3 linked regions of the Oryctolagus cuniculus genome follow. The protein of the gene in region 2 binds, or shares a complex with, the protein of the main gene of each other region. Links are inferred from orthologs where the notes say so. Each region holds a gene or a part of one and is shown on either strand. Other genes may lie near its edges.

What was found. The genes of interacting proteins can lie anywhere in the genome.
Region 1: TAF3 (region 2) and TAF9 share a complex: the UniProt entries of both Homo sapiens proteins name them as parts of the TFIID basal transcription factor complex. The link is inferred for Oryctolagus cuniculus from reciprocal best matches to the Homo sapiens genes TAF3 and TAF9.
Region 3: TAF3 (region 2) and TAF11 share a complex: the UniProt entries of both Homo sapiens proteins name them as parts of the TFIID basal transcription factor complex. The link is inferred for Oryctolagus cuniculus from reciprocal best matches to the Homo sapiens genes TAF3 and TAF11.

Annotation. Positions count from the first base shown.
Region 1 is NC_091445.1:90,324,712-90,332,171, reverse strand, and holds TAF9 (transcription initiation factor TFIID subunit 9), read left to right. Parts: upstream 1-2,428; 5' UTR 2,429-2,475; exon of another isoform or gene 2,476-2,548; intron 2,549-2,766; exon of another isoform or gene 2,767-2,782; coding exon of another isoform or gene 2,783-3,074; intron 3,075-4,949; coding exon of another isoform or gene 4,950-5,042; intron 5,043-5,794; 5' UTR 5,795-5,821; coding exon 5,822-6,616; 3' UTR 6,617-6,838; downstream 6,839-7,460. Other genes in the region: cell cycle checkpoint protein RAD17, read right to left, coding at 820-923, 1,982-2,192; AK6 (adenylate kinase isoenzyme 6), read left to right, coding at 2,783-3,074, 4,950-5,042. UniProt on the Homo sapiens protein: The TFIID basal transcription factor complex plays a major role in the initiation of RNA polymerase II (Pol II)-dependent transcription.
Region 2 is NC_091444.1:75,463,920-75,471,443, reverse strand, and holds the start of TAF3 (transcription initiation factor TFIID subunit 3), read left to right. Parts: upstream 1-3,629; coding exon 3,630-4,026; intron 4,027-4,287; exon of another isoform or gene 4,288-4,426; intron 4,427-7,307; exon of another isoform or gene 7,308-7,363; intron 7,364-7,524. UniProt on the Homo sapiens protein: The TFIID basal transcription factor complex plays a major role in the initiation of RNA polymerase II (Pol II)-dependent transcription.
Region 3 is NC_091436.1:134,548,415-134,556,014, forward strand, and holds the start of TAF11 (transcription initiation factor TFIID subunit 11), read left to right. Parts: upstream 1-2,568; 5' UTR 2,569-2,677; coding exon 2,678-2,848; intron 2,849-5,318; coding exon 5,319-5,467; intron 5,468-7,600. Other genes in the region: ANKS1A (ankyrin repeat and SAM domain-containing protein 1A), read right to left, coding at 1,076-1,269. UniProt on the Homo sapiens protein: The TFIID basal transcription factor complex plays a major role in the initiation of RNA polymerase II (Pol II)-dependent transcription.

The sequences.
Region 1 (7,460 bases), on a different chromosome or scaffold from region 2:
TGAATTCCAATCTACTGGAAAAAAGAATCAGCGAAATTGATAATTTACTTAAGATCAGTGAAAATGAGAGATACTACCAAGGAAAAACAGCTACCATGCAGGTACATTGATACTGTCTGACCCCATGCCCTCCCACACCCTATCTTTCTGAGAACTGACACGCACTGGGCAACGAAGTACAGCCTGGGGTTAAGCTGAATCACCAACCACCATTCGTGTGTCTCTTTCTTCTTCTTCTTCTTTTTTTTTTTTTTTTTGAGACAGGCAGAGTGGACAGTGAGAGAGAGAGAAAGGTCTTCCTTTTGCCGTTGGTTCACCCTCCAATGGCCGCCGCGGCCGGCGCACCGCGCTGATCCGATGGCAGGAGCCAGGAGCCAGGTGCTTTTCCTGGTCTCCCATGGGGTGCAGGGCCCAAGCACTTGGGCCATCCTCCACTGCACTCCCTGGCCACAGCAGAGAGCTGGCCTGGAAGAGGAGCAACCGGGACAGAATCCGGCGCCCCGACCGGGACTAGAACCCGGTGTGCCGGCGCCACAGCAGAGGATTAGCCTAGTGAGCCGCGGCGCCGGCCTTTCTATGCTCTTTCATTCGAGAGTTTTTAGCCTTTTCTTTGTGACTGGGCTTGCAAACACTTTTTCAAAATTAAAATTGTGCTTTTAGGTTCAGTTGTTCCAGAACTTATTAACAGACTTGTTTAGATCACTAATTTCAAAAAAAAATGGGCACCATTATTCTGATAGCAGTCAGTCATTAAGAGCATGTGTAAAAACACCTAATTCATTTAGGTAACTATCACATGGCCATTTTAGTGTGACATACCTTTGTGGAAGACACCTTTGGTCTAAGAAAAGTGTTTGACATCATAAATCTTAATAGTTCCCATGCGTAGTACACAATCTGTAGCACAACAAAGTATAAATCACCTAGAGGAAATAGGAAAAACTCACTTCAAGTCAAGAACTGTAAGCACAGTTAAGTCGATATAACCAACAACATAACAACATCAAGGCTCAAGAACTAGTGAAAGCAAGCATGGTAAACAGGAGAAAAATCAGAACGTTACAACAAGTTAGAGGAATCTATCTGATGTTTTTTATGAGAAAACACAGCAACATATTTGGGTGCTGACCTTCTCTCAAAAAGAAAAATCAGGCAATTCTGAGAAGTTTTTAACACCAAAAATTAAACTATTCCTTTACTCCAATCCGTTGCAAGCTATTACATCTTCATTTCTAAAGTTTCAAAAAAAGGCAAGATACAATGAATTCAGACATATCAGTTACTTTGAATAAAACAGTTGAATCTCACTGTCAGTTTTTCTAGAACTTCCTTTGAGCACGCCATCAGAAAACGTCTTGGCATCACTGTTTTCCGATTTGCGTGATTCGTCAATACTGATGGAAAGCAGTGAATTCAACCATTTTAGGGCCGCCAGGAGGAACGATTTTCAAGGCCAACAAACTGTACCCTGGGAAGGTGTACTGGACTATCTGAGGAGGCACACTTCCACACACTGGCAGTCATTCACCTCTGAGAGTAGACCGCTATCAGCAATGCACAGTAGCAAAAAAAAAAAAAAAAAAAAAAAAAAAATCGATTCAATGTAGCCGACAGTCAGCACTGCAGCCGCTCAGTGAAAGCGAGACCGACAATTACCTCCTTGGAAAAGCAGGTAACTGTCAGCGACGATGCCCGTTTCCTGAAATTAGATGTCAGAGGCAGAAGACACGTTCAGGACCATCCCGAGCCCACCCACCACCACCCCACGCGCTGCACAGCCGGTCCTGAGCTCAGACATTCGTTCAGCGCCATCCTGCAACCAGCCGGCAGCCAGGCTGAGCTCGTCGGTCCCCGCTCCAGGCCGGGGCACCGCAACCCCGTCTCTCTCGTCCCAGGCGGGACGGGAGGGCATGGAGGCAGAGATGGGCTCGCGCGTCCAGGACACACACAGAAAACACCGCCACAACCGCGACGGCCTTACTTTCCGGGAGCCGCATTCCCCTCCCTCGTGGGCGGAGAGGAGCCAAGGAGCGCGGGGCCGGCTCCGGTGTTGGGGTGGCCACCCGACCCTCCCCGGGCTCGGCACCGAGCCTCTCGGGGGTCCCGCCTCCCGGGGTCCTTCCACACCCGTCGGCGCCTCGGCGACGCGGCGCGAAGGGCGGGGGCCCCAGGCGCGCGAGCGACATAGGCATCCAGCGCACTGCCTGACTCAGAGCGCGCAGCGAGCTGGCTCCCGGCCTCCATTCACGCCACGGAAGCGTGTCACAGAAGCCCAGGGAACCGCTGGCGGCGGCTGGGACTGCGGAGCTGGGCCGGGAGCGGGCGCCCGGCACGGCCTCGAGGACCCCGCGGCCGCCGGCGCTGGCGCTGCCCGCCCCTTCCGGCTCCTCCTCGCGGTGCGTAGGGCGCGCGCAGAGGAGGCGCTCGGGGCGTCCGCCGGGACGACTATGCGGCTGCCGAACATTCTGCTCACCGGTCAGGGCGCGCGGCGGGGACGGGACGCGCGGGGGGCTCCGGGCGCCGGGCGGGGAGCGCCGGGCTGCAGCGGGCGGCCGGGCGGGGGCCGCGGGGCGCGACGGTGGCCGGGGCCTGCGGACGCGGCGCGGGGCGGGGGCGGCCGCGGGGCGCGGGGAAGCCGGCCGGGACCCGGCGCTCCGGTGTGGGCAGGCTCCGTTATCTTTATAATAGAGACCCTGGTGTTCTGCTCGGAAAGCCAGCTTTGGCGTCTCTGGTCGGGTTGCTTTGGGGTTTCCCGGAGGTAACGTGCGGAAGCGTGTCGGCCATGGCGGAGGCCTCGCGTCGTGGGCCTTCGCGGGTGGGCGCGGGTGCTGGCGGCGTGGCGGAGCGCGTGCAGTCACTGCGGCCGTGTGCTGGGGTAGTGTCCAGGCGCCTGCCTCCCTTTGTGATGGGAGCGCACGCTGTGGAGCCCCCGGCTGCTCGTGAGCCCCTGCGGGTCTCGGACACTGACCCGCTGTGGCCAGCGAAGCGGCTAGAACGCTGGGCCTCTAGGCCTGAGACGTGTCCGTTGAGAGCGTCCTGCGCCGTTCGTGGGGGAATCTATGGAGCGTATCGAAGTATTAAGAGATTGTGAAGAGTTGTGTTTTTTTTTTTTTTTTTTGAAGATTTGTTTGTTTGAAAGTTACAGGGAGAGGGAGGGAGGAGACGCAGATCTCGCATCTGCTGCGCTGGTTCACTCCCGGCAGGATCGCAGTGGCGGGGGCTGAGCCAGGCAAAGCCAGGAGCTTCACCCGGGTCTCCTGCACGGGTGGCAGGGGCCCAAGCAGTTGAGCCGTCTGCCACTGCTTTCCCCCGGCCCTGAGCAGGGAGCCGGACTGAAGTGGAGCAGCCAGACACCACGGGCACTCGTACAGGGTGCTGGAGTGGAAGGCAGCGGCTTTGCCCCTACTCCACAGCCCTGAACCCTGAAAAGGTTTTTTCCCTTCAACATTTAACGAAACTTGACATTTTTGGCAGCCCACAAAGATTGTTCCTAGGTGCTGCGCAGTAGCCCCTCAGCTAGTGAGTTTTTAGCCTGTGAGATTCATTATGATGAAGATTTTGCAGCATCTGATTTGCATGGATTAGTGTCCTGATTAATGCTGTAAAAAAAAAATCTGGTGTGAATATTTTAATGAAAGTTGAGTCCAGGGTTCAGACTTGGTATAATATAGTAGACAGGGGTTAAATGTCCTGCATGTGGAGATTGGATTTATACATGTTAATAATGCTCAGATGTAATCATTAAAGTGTCATTAAACATTGAGAAGCTGAAAATTATGCGTTTGATTATCTTGGAATATAATTCTTTTAGACGTAAAAGGGGAAAGGTATAGAACAATGCATAGTATTACCATTTATGTAAAAGGCAATACAAGTGGCATGTGTTTTTGCACATAGGATATGCTACCTACACCTACTTCTGTGTATAGACACACATGCATAGGACTTCTTCGGAAAGGTATGCAAAAGACTAGTTACAGTGGTTCCCAGACTAAGGTTTGTTCCATGAGCAATTTTTTTTTTTTTTTTTTTTTTTTCTTTTTGGACAGGCAGAGTTAGACAGTGAGAGAGAGAAACAGAGAGAAAGGTCTTCCTTCTGTTGGTTCACCCCCCAAATGGTTGTTACGGCTGGCGCGCTGCGCCGATCCGAAGCCAGGAGCCAGGTGCTTCTCCTGGTCTCCCATGGGGTGCAGGGCCCAAGCACTTGGGCCATCCTCCACTGCACTCCCAGGCCACAGAAGAGAGCTGGACTGGAAGAGGAGCAACTGGGACAGAATCCGGCGCCCCCACCGGGACTAGACCCCGGAGTGCCTGTGCCGCAGGCGGAGGATTAACCTAGTGAGCTGCGGTGCCGGCCAATGAACAATTTCTTAATCTTTTAAAATAAAAGCAAATAAATGACAGTAATTGATTTGAGGTGGCTGATTTTATTGTGGGCAGTCTGACGTTGGTGGCAGCAGTCAGAATTTGTATTCCCACCCATGGAGAAACATTGCGTGATTCTGACATCCAGAGCTTTTTTGCAGAAAAATTTTTTTAATTCGGGAGAGCACTCATGCATGTTCTCATCCACTGATGGACTCCCCAAATGCCTGTGCTGCCAGAAACCAGGAAGTCAGCTCAGTCCTGCTACCTGGATACTTGAGCAGTCCTCTGCCTCCTGGGATCTGCATTGGCAGGAAGCTGAAGTCAGGAGTCAGAGCCAAATACCGAACTTAGTCTAAACTCAAACATGGGAGGTGGGCATCCTAACCTCTACAGACACCTGCCCTGGGAGATTTTGTTTAGTTGGTTTTGTATATTCACATCTGGTTGCTTACTACTATTTTTGTATATTCACATCTGGTTGCTTTCCTACTAGGAAAGTTGTTAAGAACCTTACAAAGGGTGGAAGTAGTTGAAGTCTATAATAGTATTTCATAGGCATTTTTCTGTGATTTGTCTTACAGGTACTCCAGGGGTTGGGAAAACCACACTAGGCAAAGAACTTGCATCAAGATCAGGACTGAAATACGTTAATGTGGGTGATTTAGCTCGAGAAGGTAAGGGGATGCTTTAGTGTTGGGTTTTTGTTTTTGTTTTTGTTTTTGTTTTTCTTGCAGTCGGCTAGTGGAATTATTGGTACTGTTAGGTATTGTGAGAGGGTACAAAAGCAGAGACAGATTCCTATTATGGAATTTGTGCTCTATCCGGAGCCTACAGAAAAAGAAGATACTAAGTGTCCAATACTGTGTCCTTTTTATTTTGATTATTTCCACCTCCTTCTCCCCAAATTGGCTAGCAATTCTTGTGAGTAGAAATAATTAGGAAGGCTTCCATGAAGAAATTGGGACTTGGGATCTGAATATGAGGCAGAAGGAGAATGTTTTGAGTTGGACAAACACAGAGGTTTGGGTGATGCCACACATATATAGGACAGTGAGTAAATTGACAACATTAGAAAGATTAATTTTGAATTCAAGCAGTAGAATATGATTGTTCTATAGTATTAGATTATTTCAAAGCGGTGCATGTTTTTACAGATTTAACCATATTTTCCCCTAGTTTTTTAGTTAGTCCTTTATTTTTGTCTTCATCTTTTTATACTCTAGAATGATTTTTAACAGGGTAGGAACTCAGTAAGTGTAAGTAAAGGAAACTTTTAAGTGTGTCTTGTTGAAATTAAAAATATTTAACATGTTTTAAAATTTAAATTTATTTTTTAAAGGATATAACGCATATTTTAAAAAACTAAGTTCCTAGAAGTTGCTACTGAAGTTTTTCAGTTTGATCTAATATACATATTTTTTTCAAGTGATCTAAAGTTTGATCACCGGATATCATGGAGTCTGGCAAGATGGCTTCTCCCAAGAGCATGCCGAAAGATGCACAGATGATGGCACAAATCCTGAAGGATATGGGGATTACAGAATATGAGCCAAGAGTTATAAATCAGATGTTGGAGTTTGCATTCCGATATGTGACCACAATTCTAGATGATGCAAAGATTTATTCGAGCCATGCTAAGAAAGCTACTGTTGATGCAGACGATGTGCGGTTGGCAATCCAGTGTCGTGCTGACCAGTCTTTTACTTCTCCTCCCCCAAGAGATTTTTTATTAGATATTGCAAGGCAAAGAAATCAAACCCCTTTGCCATTGATCAAACCATATTCAGGTCCTAGATTGCCACCTGATAGGTACTGTTTAACCGCTCCGAACTATAGGCTTAAGTCTTTGCAGAAAAAGGCGTCTACTTCTGCAGGAAGAATAACGGTTCCGCGGTTAAGTGTTGGGTCAGTTACTAGCAGACCAAGTACTCCCACACTAGGCACCCCAACTCCACAGACCATGTCTGTTTCTACTAAAGTAGCTACTCCAATGTCCCTCACAGGACAGAGGTTCACAGTACAGATGCCTGCTTCACAGTCACCCGCTGTGAAGGCATCAATTCCTGCAACATCAGCAGTTCAGAATGTTCTCATTAATCCATCGTTAATTGGGTCCAAAAACATTCTTATTACCACTAATATGGTGTCATCACAGAATACTGCCAGTGAAACAAATGCATTGAAAAGAAAACGTGACGATGATGATGACGATGACGATGATGATGATGATGACTATGATAATTTGTAATCTAACCTTGATGCATGTCATGTGTACTTGGTCTTGAATCCATTGTACTGAAATTAAACAAGTATGTTTGATGTTTTCAAGTTGTGTTTGAGAAAACCTGTATAGTATTTAAGTATATATAAGTATAGTTTTCAGTTGAAATGTTGGATTTTCTTTAATAAGATTAGTAGTGGTTTTTCATCAGCCTTTAAGTGTAAAAAATAAAGTTGTTTATCTGTTTGATTATTGGTACTGTGGCGATTATGTTTTTAAAAACGCAGTTTTTGTGCATTGTTAACAGCAGTAATAGTTGTAATAACTTCAAGCTGTTGTAGTCCATTACCATTAACATGTAACCTCTAATGTCTTCAGATGCTTAGATCATAATATGACCCCTGGAGAACACACTCTTAGGGTGTATTTTCCCACAATATGACCCCTGGAGAACACACTCTTAGGGTGTATTTTCCCACATTGCTGAAGTATAACAGACTCCTGTGGAGAGACCACTTGAAGGTTTTCATTTATAGTGAATCCCCTTTTCTGGGTTTATCTTAATTCCTCAACTTTTTTTTTTTTTTTTAGGAGCTTTTTTTTTTTTTTTTTTTTTTTTATTTTTTGATAGGCAGAGTGGACAGTGAGAGAGAGAGACAGGTCTTCCCTTGCCGTTGGTTCACCCTCCAATGGCCGCCGCTGCAGCCGGCACAGCGCGCTGATCCGATGGCAGGAGCCAGGAGCCAGGTGCTTTTTCCTGGTCTCCCATGGGGTGCAGGGCCCAAGCACCTGGGCCATCCTCCACTGCACTCCCTGGCCATAGCAGAGAGCTGGCCTGGAAGAGGGGCAACCGGGACAGAATCCGGCGCCC
Region 2 (7,524 bases):
CTTTCAAATAAATAATTTTAAGAGAGAGAGAGAGAGAGAGAGAGAGAGAGAGACACACCAGGGGTTATGCACACATGTGAAGAAGGTAGTCAGATGCAAATGAATCAGAGAGGCCTTTGGAGAAACCAAACTGTTATCACCTTGATCTTGGACATCTTCTACAATGGCATGAAAATAAATTCTGACTAAGTATTTTGTTATGGTATCCTAGGCAAACTCTGTAGGACTCTCCAAGAACAGGTTGCTCGCAAGTGATCCTAGAAAGCTATTTGTATTGATAAGAAATGGACACATATTCTAGATATGGATTTGTCTTTCCTGCTTACGATGTTGGATCCACTGATGTCCCATATCATACTGCATCAGTATAAGGAACCTATTTTACTACAGAGCAGGTGGGGAAGCAGGCACAATGCCATGAAATCCACTAGTCCTAAAACATGCCATACCACACAGAAGGTGTCAGCCTGGCAGAGCAACAGAAAGACCTTATTGTGGGCACAGCTAAAGCACCAGCTCACAGGCAATGAATAGCATGTGAAGCACTGGTGCATGGTATCCAGGGCTGCAATCCCCCACAATGCTGTGCGCCTTTTAAGTCAACGACCTTTCCATGAGGCTGGGTTCCCAACAGGCAGATGATACGGGGTAGAGGCCAGTTCCTCCACTTACTATTACTTTCAGTGACCCCCCACCCCCGAGGAGGGGGTGTGGAATTGCTCTTTCCGTACCTAAAACTGGGTTCTTCAGATGTAGGTCCAATTTCTAAAAGGGGGGACTTCTTTCATCAGGAACACATCCTGGGGTCCTGCTAAAGTATCAGCCATCCTTGGACATTTTGGCCAGGAGACAGCAGCAAAGTGGGGAGTTCCCTCACAGGCAGGAGCAGTGAACCCTGATTAACAGGAGAATGTCAGGCTACCATTACAGTGAGGAATCAAGGACTGCCCAGCACCTAGGTGCTCTGTTCTGGTACCCTCATGCCCGATTTTAATGGTCCATAGGCTAGTTCAGCGGCCACAGTCTGAAAAGGACATGGAAATTAGGGGCTCAGAACCACTGCGTAGGAGGGTCTGGGTCACTCCACCAGAAGACGGGTGAGAGAAACATCCAATGGGCAGTCAAGGAGGAAGACGAGGAGTACCAACTGAGGCCAGGCTGCAGAAGTAGGGGTTGTAATTAGTCTTTTTTTTTTTTTTTTTTTTGACAGGCAGAGTGGACAGTGAGAGAGAGAGACAGAGAGAGAAAGGTCTTCCTTTTGCCGTTGGTTCACCCTCCAATGGCCGCCGCTGCAGCCGGCGCACCGCGCTGATCCTGGCAGGAGCCAGGAGCCAGGTGCTTTTCCTGGTCTCCCATGGGGTGCAGGGCCCAAGCACCTGGGCCATCCTCCACTGCACTCCCTGGCCATAGCAGAGAGCTGGCCTGGAAGAGGGGCAACCGGGACAGAATCCGGCGCCCCAACCGGGACTAGAACCCGGTGTGCCGGCGCCGCAAGGTGGAGGATTAGCCTATTGAGCCACGGCGCCGGCCCTGTAATTAGTCTCTTGATCTTCCTCTTTTGACACAGAAGAGGCCCCTCCTGAAGCATGGAGGAGCTACTTCTTGAACTGACACCAAGAAATTGATTCAAGGGAACAATGGGTGGAGCGCCTGAGAGTTGTCATGCACTGCTCAGAGCCCCCTCCCCCAGGACTGAAGTCATGCCACAGTGACCTGTCAACATAGGAATACAAGGACCAGCCTCCAAGTCCCAAGTTAAGGTAACTCTGAAGGGTATCCCCCCCTCAGCACTCTCTATGGGACTGGCTGAGGTTTACCCTGACAGCACCTTGCAGTCCTGCCTCTGTACCCTCCCTTCCACAGAAGGTATCTCAGAAGAACTTCTAGATAAAACTTCTGCAAACTCATCTCCATCTTACAGTTGGCTTCCCTGGTTACCAAACCTGTAACATATAGTCATACATATGGTTATGAGGAATGTTCTCCTATTGGGAACACACACACACACACACACACACACACAAAGTATTGCAGGTTAAGTGTCATGAAGTTTGCAACTTAGTTTCAAACTTCTGAAAGAAAAAAAGTGTGTGTGTATCCATACAGCCAAAGACATAATAAATATGGCAAAAAGTTAACAATGGGTCAATGAAGATGAAAGTGTATACCTGTATTTAAACTTTTCTGTTTCAACTTTTTTGTAGATTTGAAATGTTCCAAAATGTTCTGCCCCAGAATACATCTCTCACCTGCGCCTCGCATTGCCAGTTTCCCCCACCCAATCCCCACATCCCTAGGCACAGGTGAATGAAGAAAAGGAACACCCAGAATGGGTGTGGAAACTATTTGTGAAATCCAAGGTTCCAGAGAGTTCATAAATTAAGGAACTGCTGAATATTATGAACGTGCAACAAAACGGTCAGGTAAGGCTAAAATTGACAAGTTCCCATTGATGTAAGTATCAAAAAGGTTCCTGATAGTCTTGGAGACAAAAGCGTTGGTAAACACCATAGACATCTTTCACCTAGCGTCTTGCTCCTTCTCTGCAGATTGTCATTTTGCTGATGCATCATATTTTCACATCAATTGGGTTTTCAAAAATTTTTTTTAAAAACTGAGCACTATGTTCAAGGTTTTGGAATAGTCCCTATAGAAGGAATACAAAGCTACTCAGAAACTCAGTTTATTGCGCTTGCCTCATAAACGGATGTGGTAAACACACAGTGCATGCCTAACAAACTGAGTAGGTCAGCCATTCCAACCTGGCTACCCATGTGCTGTGCGCAGCTTAACAGAGGGATGAGTTTTGCTTCCAAACAAATACTTTTAAATTGTGTTTCCAATATTTAAAAATCAAGATACATTTCAGAACACCCTAATCTCTGGCATCTTGAAAAGATCCAACAATGTTTGCCTGAAAGTGGCAGAAGGCTTTGGAGCAGACAACGGTTCTCAGGGTACTCCACTCGTGTCGCTTACTTAAGGCCTCTGTAGGCAACTGAATACCCCATTCCCTGGACAGGTCACTGTCGCTGGCAATGTCCACCCCACCGCTCCCCACCCCCACCATGAACAGCCCACCTGGCTTTTTTTTTTTTTTAAGCATGATTGGAAGCAGGGCTGGAGTTAGTATGAAATGAGAACTGTGGGCGTGGATTTCGATTTAAAAAAAAAAAAAAACCGTATGACAATATTAATTGATCCCGGCTAGTGAGTTCTTTGGAGCCCCCAGTAATTTGGCAGCCCTAGTATTAGGGGCTTTGAATGACATGCAGAACAGCTTGGACTTCATTTAACGTATACGGCAGCTAGCATGCCAAAAAGCACAGGCAAGACAGGATCAGATCCGCGTTTTGAGCAGCAAGTTCCTCTTCCCCAAACTTATAACTCTGTACTAATGTTAACCCTTCTACCCCTAAAACGCTAACGACTTCCTCTTCCTTCTCCCCCAGGTGAAAGCCCCCCAACCCAGGAACCCTGCCACCTGCCGCCCCAGAATACATCTCCCACCTGCGCCTCGCATCGCCAGTTTCCGGTCGACATTCAGACCCGAGAATCGATATCGAGACCCTCGCTTTGCTCCCCCTACAGGGCGGAGCTTTCTCATCGGCGCTATCGGTATTTGACTCATGCTGCCTCTCCCCGGCGGCCGTCCAGCGGGAGGCGGAGCGAGTCCAAAATGGCGGCTCTCAGGCTGGCGCGCTCCTTGCTGCTGGGGTTTTGAGGTGGTTGCCCGGGGTCTGGGGGACGCTTTCCCCGCCGCGGGGGCCCTAAAGGATGAATCGAGAACTCTGCTAAGGTCAGGCGGCGGGGCTGGAGAGAAGTGGCAGCAAGGGCTGCGGTGGCGTCCACACACCGGGATGTGCGAGAGTTACTCCAGGTCGTTGTTGAGGGTCTCGGTGGCGCAGATCTGCCAGGCGCTGGGCTGGGACTCGGTGCAGCTCAGCGCCTGCCACCTCCTCACGGACGTGCTGCAGCGCTATCTGCAGCAGCTGGGCCGGGGCTGCCATCGGTACTCTGAGCTCTGTGAGTACCGGGCTGGGTGAGGGAGGGCTGCCCCGGTAAGTCACGAGTGACACCTCAGTCTCCCCGTTCCTCTCTCCGCATCCCCGGGCTTTGCGTTCTGCACCCCGCCCCGAGATCAGCTATCGTCTAGGCTTCCAACAGCCCTGGGGTTCCACTGCCGCTGGAAACTCTAGTCATCCCCTGGTGCCTCTTTCCCATCCGCTAACTTCCCGCCACCAGCCCGGAGCCCAGTCTCCGCTCCCGGCTCCCGCACCCTCTTACCTCTCCCCTCTCTGAAAGGTGCCTCGGTATTTCTCATTGTCTCGTGTTTGCTGCGGGTACACCCATCCCCAGAATGCCCTACACCCTCTTCTGCCCAGGTCCTTTTCCTCCCTTGCCGCAAACTACTACAACTAGTTGTCACAGGCGCTCCGTCTACCGGCCGTTTCTTACAAGACTGGCCATTCTCGAGCTCCTAACTACAGACTCGTTGACAGCTCTGCTCCGTTAGGGACATTGCCTCTTTTTTTTTTTTTCCCGTATCTTCGTTTCAGAGACAGCATCTCCACTTAGATTTTCCCCGAGGCCGACTGTCAATTTCGATTAACTTTCGCTTCCATCTCACTTAAGCACTGACTTCCTCTTGCATAGTTTTCTCAAGTGTGGTGGAGGGATCAGAGGCAGTTGACAAGATTCTTGCAGGTGGTCTGAGGTTTTGGTTTCTGAGTGAGTGTCTGGTTGTATCTATTGCTGGTGCTGTTTAATAATTTGGAATGTTTAAATAGAAGGCACGCATCATCTTGTGTGTGTGTCAGGGAGGGGGGGGCTACCACTCATTTAGATTTCAGGTTGATTTTTCAGACTGGAGAACTGGATGAAGTATTTCGTAGGATATTCGGTTTTGCAAAGAGGTTCATAGACTGAAACACAGACCCACACATACACTAGACTTCTTAGGACCCAAATTCTATTCCCAGCTCCATCATGCTGCCAAAATAATCTGTCCATAATGCAGTTCTCCTGTCATTCTTAAAAATATTTCAGTTGTATTCATTGTTTACAGGCAAACCCCCCCCCCCAAAAAAAAAACACCTATTAACAGCACACAGTTGCCTCTGTGAGCTACCATCTTTCTTATCTGCTGCCACCCTGCCTTACTAATCTGCTGAGCTACCTGCCAGAACATTTTAAGCCATCCTTTCCTGTATGCATGCTGCTTCCTGGAGTGTCCTTGGGCCCCTTCTCTTCCAGTAGTTCTGCTTACATCCTGAGATTCACTTACCATTGCTCTAGGGAACTCAGGTTATCTGCTCTCATAATTCTGTGCATATTTCTGTTATGCTGTTTATCACCTTGTTTTGTAAACTGCTTCTGTCTCTTCAGGCTCTCCTGGACACAAATGGGTTATATTTGTATTCTGTAAACTTGTCTGGGGCCACAATATAATAGGCACCCAGGAAACAGTTGTTGAATAAATGAGCTGATAATCTGCTACCATAGTAGTTCTTTATTGTCTTCACTTTTTGAGTCCCCAAAATGTCTATTTTTTTGAATGCCTGATTTCACTAATACTTCTAAATTTGGAACTGCAAAGTAACGGCATTCGTTATGATCTTGACAGTGTACCACCAACAGAATACTCCTGGCTTTTGCTTCTTATCCCTGGTCCCCAGACATCATCCCTGCATATACTGCTACTTTTATGCCCAGTCCAGGTTATGTTTTTGCTACTAGTTCCCTAAGAATATGGCTAGGTACTTAAAATAGCCCTTGAATACATAGTTACCTTTTCAGCCTTATACACAGAACCAGAATATATGCTGGCATTCCATGGTACTGGGTATTCCAAAGTCATCAAGGGATAATTGTAATGCTTTAATGTGAACTTTGTTTCTAATTACCTGATTTCTATAGTTAATTTTCTTGGTTTCAGTGAGAATGCAGTTTTCAGGGCCATTATTCCCGTTGTGGTTTGCTGTTTTTTTGTTTGTTTTGTTTTTCAGGCAGAGTTAGACAGTGAGAGAGAGAGACAGAGAGAGAGTTATAGACAGTGAGAGAGCGACAGAGAGAAAGGTCTTCTTTCTGTTGGTTCACTCCCGCAACGGTCGCCACGGCTGGCGCTGTGCCGGTCCGAAGCCAGGAGCCGGGTGCCTCCTGCTGGTCTCCCATGCTAATTTTGGTATACTTATTAGACATCTTTAGATTTTTTTTCTCTATACCATTCTGACTTTAAAATCAGATTCTGTAACCTCATGTTACCAGTATGCTATCTTTTTTGTCTTTTGAGCACCACTTATGCACTAAGACCTGTACTAGGTGTTACAGATTTAGAATTACTGAACAAAATTAAGAGTATCAAAGTATCAGCAAAAAACAACCAATGGCTTTTATTCCTTAAAAATTATTTTTTTCTCAAGATAAAGCATGTATTGGGAGTTACTATTAATTCAACAAATAAGGAATTTTAAAATTTCCCTTAGATGAAAATCCTCTAAGCATTTAGGGGCAGATGTTTCTGTATGAGTTGTATTATGTGAAAAATATGTGTGCATTGCTGAAAGCAAGTGCTGAATCTCTCAGAACGATTCTTTAAGACTAGTGCTGTAACATAATTATTGCACGGTATAGGGAGTAAATGCAGAAGGGATAGATAAAGGAGAGATGGTTATGAGCTGTGGATTCCATGGTAGATTGCTTTACAGCAAAGATGATGCTTGAGTTAAGCTGTGAAGTGTGGTTGTATGAAGGTAGAGAATAATTCCGGGTTTGAGGATAGCATAAACTGTGGTGACCAAATAAGATTAAGGATGAAGAAAATGCCAATAAGGCGACCAGCTTGACATATGTAGCTAGTTTATTTGAAAGGTGTTCAGCAGAGTGAAATCAGGTTCTGGAGGGACTTAAAAATATAGATGGAGAATGGAAACATGTGGTAGGAAACAGTGTATGTTCCTAAGTAGAAAAATAAATAGTGTGATGACAGTGGTATTTCAAGAAAATATTGCTGGCACTGGGGTTCAAGAGAGATTCCAGTGGACAGAACTTGACACTGTATTGAATAGTGAGTGGTAGTAGGAATAAAGAGAGAAAAATATACTGAAACCGTAGTAAAAAGAGGGAAGGGGGTCCAGAAGGTCTTGGGTTGAGATTGCAAAGCCTGTGGACGAATTCAAGATGATCAGTGTTTTTAGACAGAGAGGGTGATAACGTTAAGAGGAATAGAAGAGTTGAAATGCATATCTCTGTTCAGTAAGAAGAATGAGTATTACTTTATTTACTTTTTTCTTTTTCATACATCACAGAAGTAACCCATGCTTATAGGAAAATTCAAAGACTGCAGAAGTGTTTGAAGTTAGAAGTAAGTCTCCTGCTTCAACCATACTACTAGCTGTATTGCAGCTTCTAAGCCCTTGAACTGTTAACTGTTGATTGTGTGTCCTTCCAGGCTCTTCTGTGGGCGTGTGAGCACATGCATATCCAGTCCTTACAGAATTTAGATTATTTTTAATTTTACAGTGG
Region 3 (7,600 bases), on a different chromosome or scaffold from region 2:
GGAAACGGTACTGCTCTGCTTGTTTGTTCTTTCCTTAAGGAAACTCCCGGGAAGGGTTCTTGTCTTACACTGCCTTTCCAAATCTTCCTGTGAAGACCGTGGTTGGTACTCAGTGCTTAAAATACTTGACTCGGGCTTCTTTTTTTGGTCCAAGCTCACCCAAATCGAAGTAACATAAATTAATGGGGAACAGAAGCTAACGAAGCCATTTCTAAATGAACTTCCACTTCTTAAAAACCTCAAAAGAACAAGGAAGGAAAACAGGCTATGAAAGTGCTGCTGAACCAACATATTTTACTCAATGACAAAGCATCTCCAATCCCCCTTCCAAGCGACACAGAACTCATTTTCCCCTCTCGAACCTCACAGCTTCGGATTCAAGTGTCCAACAACAGACCCCAGAAAATTTTAAAGCGCCCCTCCATTTCCCAACCAAGTCTTCCTAAACTTTCACTTCTTGATGAACAGACCCCAGAAGAACCCTGCAAGGAGGCTCATTACAAGGAACCACAATTCGAGCCTCAAGCACGAGAGGGGCTCCAAGACGAACTCTCCGAACGTGACCGATCCAGAGACAATTCTGATATAAACAGAAGCCAGGTTCTGCACAGCCTGGCGGAAGGCTGCAGGCTCCTGCGGGAAGGGAATCCCCTCCAGCAGAGCCGCGGCATTCTGCAAGCCGTGGGAGCTTCTGCAGGAGGTGAGGGAGGTCCCATACACACACACAGATCATTTGCTCTCAAGTGGCTTTTGTGAAGCAACGACAGCTGGCATCCCACAGCGGGCGAGGGTGACGCCGGGCTGTGCCATGCGGCGGAGCGGCCACCTGGGCACTCCCACCATTCTTCGCACCCGGGTCAGGACCGAGAGACAAGGAGAGCGGAGCGCCGCGCCAACTCGGACCCGCGCCCCCTCCGGCTTCCTGTCCCGCCGGCCGCCTGCCCTCGCTCCCCGAGTACGCCGCGAGCCCACCCCGCCGGGTCTCGGGAGCCCGACCTCTCCAGGGACCTAAAAGACGTACGGGCGGGCGGGGGGGGGGTCTCCAGGCGGCTGCCGGGCCCCGGCGCGTACCCACCTGAGCAGACTGGAGAGAGGGTGGCTGGAAGAGCCGAGGCCGCCGCCGCCGCCGCCGCCGCCGCCACTGCCCCCAGAGGAGCCGCCGCCGCCACCCCCGAAGCCTGAGGAGAGCCGCTTCCCGGACAGCAGCTTCTCCACGGCCGGGAGGTGCCCGGTGCGGGCCGCCTCCAGCAGCTCCTGCTCCTTCCCCATCCCCAGGGCCGCCACCCCAGGACCCCCCACCCCGGGGCCACCGTGGAGCCGGCTCGGCTCCCAAACTTTCCGTCTCCGGGCAACGCACCCCCTAAACCGGCCGGGGACACCACCCCCCTCCCCCCCCGCCTTTTCCCCACGAGCGCGTCACTTCCGGGATCCGGCGTCACGCGTCACCGCGCCCCCATGCCCCGCCCCCTTGCCCACCTAGCTGGGCGGGGCTCCGCGTCCCTGTGCAGGTGGACCTTGGTGTGTCAGGACAGGACTTGGGGGTCAATGGGGCAGTGCCATGTGGGTACCCATTGAAGAAGTGGAAAGGGACAAAGGGGACCCACCTGTGTACGCCTCCAAAGTGCGCTTCTTTTCCAAAGGTTTTGGGAGCTCACGGGACAGGAAATACGGTAATTCGTCCCGGCGGTGTGGAAACAAAGAGAGAAATATGGTAATACGCACCTACATTTCCAAGTCCGTTCTTTAAGCATAAAGCAGTATGTAACAGGTGCGGGAGCCTGGTAATACAGAGGTGAATAAAACGCCCTGCCCCTCCCTCCGCGTGCCTCAATGAAAAAAGGCAGGACATTTTAAAAGCAGAAATATCCTAGCCCCTTCACCATCCCAATCCGTGAAATGGCTCATTAAAGTGAAGCGCTCAAAGGAGAGACCTCCCACCCTGTAGGGATTCCTCATGATGAGACTGAGTGGGTAACAGAAGTCAGGCTTGAGAAACCTATCCCGATTTTCAGCACTGGCGAACTGGAAAAATCATTTAATTCGGTAGAAAATGTTTTTTCCCTGTACTAGCGCTGCTCCGGACTCAGAAACAGGCAGTCAACACTCGTGGAGTGAATGAATGGGTTGGATAAACACTGCTCAAGCAATAGGACTTTTTTTTTTTAAGGTGCTCGTGAAATATTCGTAGAGGGGAAATGGTGGCAATTCAATGTAAAGTCAGGCCCGCAGTCTGTCCAGGTGAAATAAAGGAGGTTGAGTCCCTGCCTGAAAGTTTGCTACCCCAAGGTTACGCGACAGCCGCGTACAAAAGGAGCAGTTTTCTCCCAGGTCCTCCAACTTTGAGGAAGAGGTTAACTGACAAAGCATTCTTAGAACGACGGAAAGGAAAAAGAAACCCTTCAGGAAGCACAACTGCACTTCTTCACAGGTGCTGGTCTCCAAGGACGGATCCACAGGGGACTTTGCACCCTCAGCGTTCTCTCTCCAGCACCACCCACCCAGGATTCAAACGGAGCCCTCAGGTGCTCCGCGCGCCCCCCATGGCCCTTCCGAGGACCAGTAGTGGTGACGACATCGCGGTGCGACGACAGGAAGTAAGCGCCCACTGTGCCGCGCGAGGTCCGGAGCTCCGCGGCCGACAGCACCGCGATCTCCTCCCCTTGCCGTTCTAGCTGTGATGGACAATGCCCGCGAGTCTCCTGCGGACAAAGGTGGGGAAGCAGGGGAGTCAGACGAGACGACTGCTGCTCCTGGGGGCCCGGGGACTGCGGACACGGACGGGATCCCGGAGGAAGCGGACGGAGACGGAGACGCGGACTTGAAAGAAGCGGCAGCGGAGGAAGGCGAGGTAGGCAGAGAAGTGTGACTGAGGTTGGAGGCATACGCCGGGATTGTGTTACCCGGAGCTCGCCACGATTCCCTCTAGATCTGCCGTCCGGGGAGTGTGGGAGGAGCAACAAAACTGTGGTGCTGGTTTGGTTCCAGAGACTCGAGCATTAGGTTTTAATATGTTTAGTCCTTGCCTTTCGGGATTAAAGCTACATCTAAGTGAATTTTAAATAGCTTCTTGGTTTTCCTATTGATGAAGTCGGTACTGTCATCCCGAGACTTAGTGCAAGAGCCAAAATCCAGGATTCCCAGCGCGCCTTTCACCGCACTATAGGTCCTCTTAGTTAATTGTTGTTTAAGTACAGCTTTCGTCTTTACAGGAGGCAGAGTTGATCAGATCTGTTAACGGGAGACTTTGAAGTCATATTCTCATCCAGCTGCTGCAGTGTCCTCCGTGCTAATGTCCAGGGGTTTCTATAACGTAAAAACACCAAATCCATCAGCTGTGCTCTCAGGATAGCTCAGCAGGGTTGCCTAACCGCGCAACAATCGCGACCAGAATCTCAGCGTCCTGTGGGTTCCTTTTCTAAAGAGAGAATTTCTAGGATCTTAGAGGCAGAAGGAACTGAAGAGCTCATGGACTGAACGTTAGATGGATAGCCTTGTCACCAAAACATACACGGTAAGCTTTTAGAAAAAGAGAAGACAGTTGACAAAGCTGAAGAAGGAAAAGTTAAAATGGGTCTCAAGGACGCAAAGGAATTGAATAATTAGCATGGTCCACTAAAGGAGCTCACTACAATATAGAAGTTTGGAGCCAGCAGAGGATAGAATTATGATGCTTTTGAAACATTTTTAAAAATTAGGCCGGCGCCGCGGCTCACTAGGCTAATCCTCCGCCTTGCGGCGCCGGCACACCGGGTTCTAGTCCCAGTCAGGGCGCCAGATTCTGTCCCGGTTGCCCCTCTTCCAGGCCAGCCCTCTGCTGTGGCCAGGGAGTGCAGTGGAGGATGGCCCAAGTCCTTGGGCCCTGCACCCCATGGGAGACCAGGAGAAGCACCTGGCTCCTGCCATCGGATCAGCGCGGTGCGCCGGCTGCAGCGCGCCGGCCGCGGCGGCCATTGGAGGGTGAACCAACGGCAAAGGAAGACCTTTCTCTCTGTCTCTCTCTCTCTCACTGTCCACTCTGCCTGTAAAAAAAAAAAAAAAAAAAAAAAAAAAAAAAAATTAATCAAAGACCAGCATTGTGGCACAGCAGGTTAAGCTACCTGCAACCCCAGAATCCCATATGGGCACTGGTTCAGTTCTGGCTGCTCCGCTTCCAGTCTAGGCCCTTGCTGATGTGCCTGGGAAGGCAGCTGAAGGTGGCCCAAGTTGAGCACCTGCACCCATGTAGGACTTCTGGCTTCCACCTGGCCCAGCCCTGGTGGTTGTGACCAATTGGGGAGTGAACTAGCAGATGGAAGAACTCTGTCTCTCCCTCTCTCTGTAACTCTGCCTTTCGATAAAAATTGATTATGTTGGGGCCAGCACTGTGGATTAGCTTTAAATATGTAACATAATGCATGTAAGTATGTAAAATATTTATTAATATTCTTTAAGTCAGAATCACAAAGTTGGGGGTGGGGGGTGGGGAGTGAGCAAGCTTCCATCTGCCTGTTCATTCCCCCAAATGGTCACAGTGGCTAGAGCTGGGCCAGGCTGAAGCCAGGAGTCAGTAGCTTCTTCCAGGTCTCCCACATGGGTGCAGGGGCCCAAGGACTTGGGCCATCTTTGGGCCATCTTCTGCTGCTTTCCCAAGCACATTAGCAGGGAGCTGGATCAGAAGTAGAGCAGCCAGGACTTGAACTGGCACTCATATGAGATGCCAGTGCTGCAGACAGCAGCTTAACCCACTATGCCACAGCATTGGCCCCTACATATTTTTGATTTTCAAAGAATGTACTTATTAGAAAAAAAAAATGGCCTATCTGCTGATTCACACTCCAAATGCCCAAAACAGCTCAGACACTCTAATAGGGGACATGGACATCCCAACCAGCATCTCAGATTTTCACTCCAGGGCCTCCTTTTTAATAATCTTTCTAAATTGAATCGTCAATAGTAAAAATATCTTTGGATCCAGAGGAGAAGAGCTGGCTGGCTGGAGAGGGCTTTGGTGACATCCCCTGTAAGGAATGAGCAGGAGAGAGAGTCCATGGAGAGAGTGGTTTTCATGATCTTGGCCATTTCTTTATCCTTGTATACAGACACTGAAGCTGTGATCATAGCTAAACTGGAAAACTAGATTATTTAACTGGTTCTTTCTACAGCCTAACTAACCTTCCTTGAGGAGAGATACTGTATCTTATACTGGGTGGAACAGTCAGTTCTGGGACAAAAAAACTACACAATAAGTGGATCTGTTGTGTTATGAGGATGATGTCTTAACCTTAGCCAAGCCTGGAAAGTAGGACAAATATATAATAGAGTTCTTTTCATCTTCCCAGCTCAAAAGTCAGGACGTCTCCGATTTAACAGCAGGTGAAAGGGAAGACGCGTCATTACTTACTCCTGCAGCCAAAAAACTGAAAATCGATACCAAAGAAAAGAAAGAGAAGAAGCAGAAAGTGGATGAAGATGAGATTCAGAAGATGCAGTAAGTCTCTTTTTGTTCCTTCCCCTTTTCAGAGCTCCAGCCTGACCACACAAATTTAATAAATTTGTCTTGGCCTCTACATTTCTAACTCAAGAGGAAATAAACTAATTAATACATTGTTATAGTATAGAAAATGTGAATAAGTAAAAAGAAAACTCATCGCCCTGCCACCAAGAGGTATATACTGCCAATACTTTAATGTATATGATCCCAGGTGTTTTCTCTACACATATAACTTATAAAATTAATAAGTTTTTACAAGGTTTTTGTTTTGTTTTGCAAAATGTCAAATACTGGAGCCAGCATTGTGACACAGTGGCCTAAGCTGCTGCTTGCAACTCTGGCATCCCATTCTGCAGTGTCAGTTTGGGTCCTGGCTGCTCCACTCCCATCCAGCTCCTGCTAATGGAAGGCAGCAGATGCCCCGAGTACTTGGACTCGCTGCCACTCATGTGGGAGAGCAGGAAGGAGTTCTTGGTGCCTGGCTTCCACCTGGCCCAGACCTGGCTCTTGTGGCCATTTGGGGAGTGAACCAGTAAATGGAAGATCTCTCTGCCTTTCAAATAAATAAATAAATCTTTTTTAAAAATAAAAGTCCTATTTCATAACCTGCTTTTCCTATTATATATGGCATTTCTCATATCAACAGTTCTACCTCTAGGACATAATTTTTGTGAAAATGGAAATAGCTTTATTATATTTTCTGATTATAAAAGTGGTGTTAGCTCATTATAAATATAGAAAAAATTAATGCTATCGCAGCATTTACTCTAAGTATATATGTTTGGGTACAATAAATTGGGCATATACTTTTTCAGATTTTCAACAGTGGTTGGTGTATACAGCTAAATATTTTCCTATCAGCAGATACACCCATGAATCTTCATTTTTAATAGCTGCCATTTGTCCCATTATGTGGCTCAGCTGGAATGTAACCAATCCTGTAACTATGCGGGTTGAGTCTTTTCCTTTTACAACATTTTGAGGTGTCCTTGGACACATGTTTGCATATTTGTCCATTACTTCCTACAATAAACTCCTAGAAGTATAATTGCTGGTTCAAACAATATGAACATTTTCAAAGGCTTTTCTTTTTCTTTTTCTTTTTCTTTTACAGATAGACTGTCCATCTGCTGATTCTCTCCCCAAAAGGTCCCAACAGGCAGGGCTGGGCCAGACCTAACCTGGAGCCAGAAGCTTCTTGCAGGTTTCCCACATGGATATAGGAGCCCAAGGACTTGGGCCATCTTCCACTGCTTTCTCAGGCCAGAGCAGAGAGCTGGATCAGAAGTAGAGCAGACAGGACTCCTACCAGCACCTATATAGGATACCAGCATTTCAGGCGGCAGCTTAGCTCCTTACACCACAGCACTGCCCCCCTCCAAAGGCTTTTCATATGTTTCCAGACTGCACTCGAAAAGGTGTTCCAGTTCATACTCTGCCAGATTGTATGAATTTGTCTTCATAGTCTAATACTGTTCCTTTTAATAGTTACTTAAATTAAAAAAAAATATTACCTTGTTGTAATTTAGTTTTAGTTTCCTTAGTTAGTAGTGAAGGTTCAAGAGGCCAGTGCTGTGGCATAGTAGGCTAAGCTTCCACCTGCGGCACCAGCAACCCATATGGGCCCCAGTTCATGTCCCAGCTGCTCCACTTCCGATCCAGCCAGCTCTCTGCTATGGCCTGGGGAAGCAGCTGAAGATGGCCCAAGTGCTTTGGTCCCTACACCTATGTGGGAGACCAGAAAGAAGCTCCTGGCTCCTGGCTTTGGATAGGCCCAGCTCCAGCCATTACAGCCATTTGGAGGGCGAACCAGCAGATAGAGGACCTTTCTATCTGTCTACCTGTTTCTTCCTCTCTATCTGTAGCTCTACCTCTCAAATATTTTTTTAAAAGTGAGTGTTCATTTGAAAAATTTTTTCTCTGTATTTGTTGGCCATTAGTATTTTTGTAAATGTCCTGTTGATGTCTTTGTTCATTTTCTAAAATTGGTTTTTGCCATCTTTTTCTATTTGCAAGGGAGAAGTATCTTCCATTTCATGGCTCCCTACCCAAATGCCTGCAGCAGGCAGGGGTGGGCCAGCAGGAGCCCAGAATTCCATCTGGGTCTCCCACATGGATGGCAGAGATCCA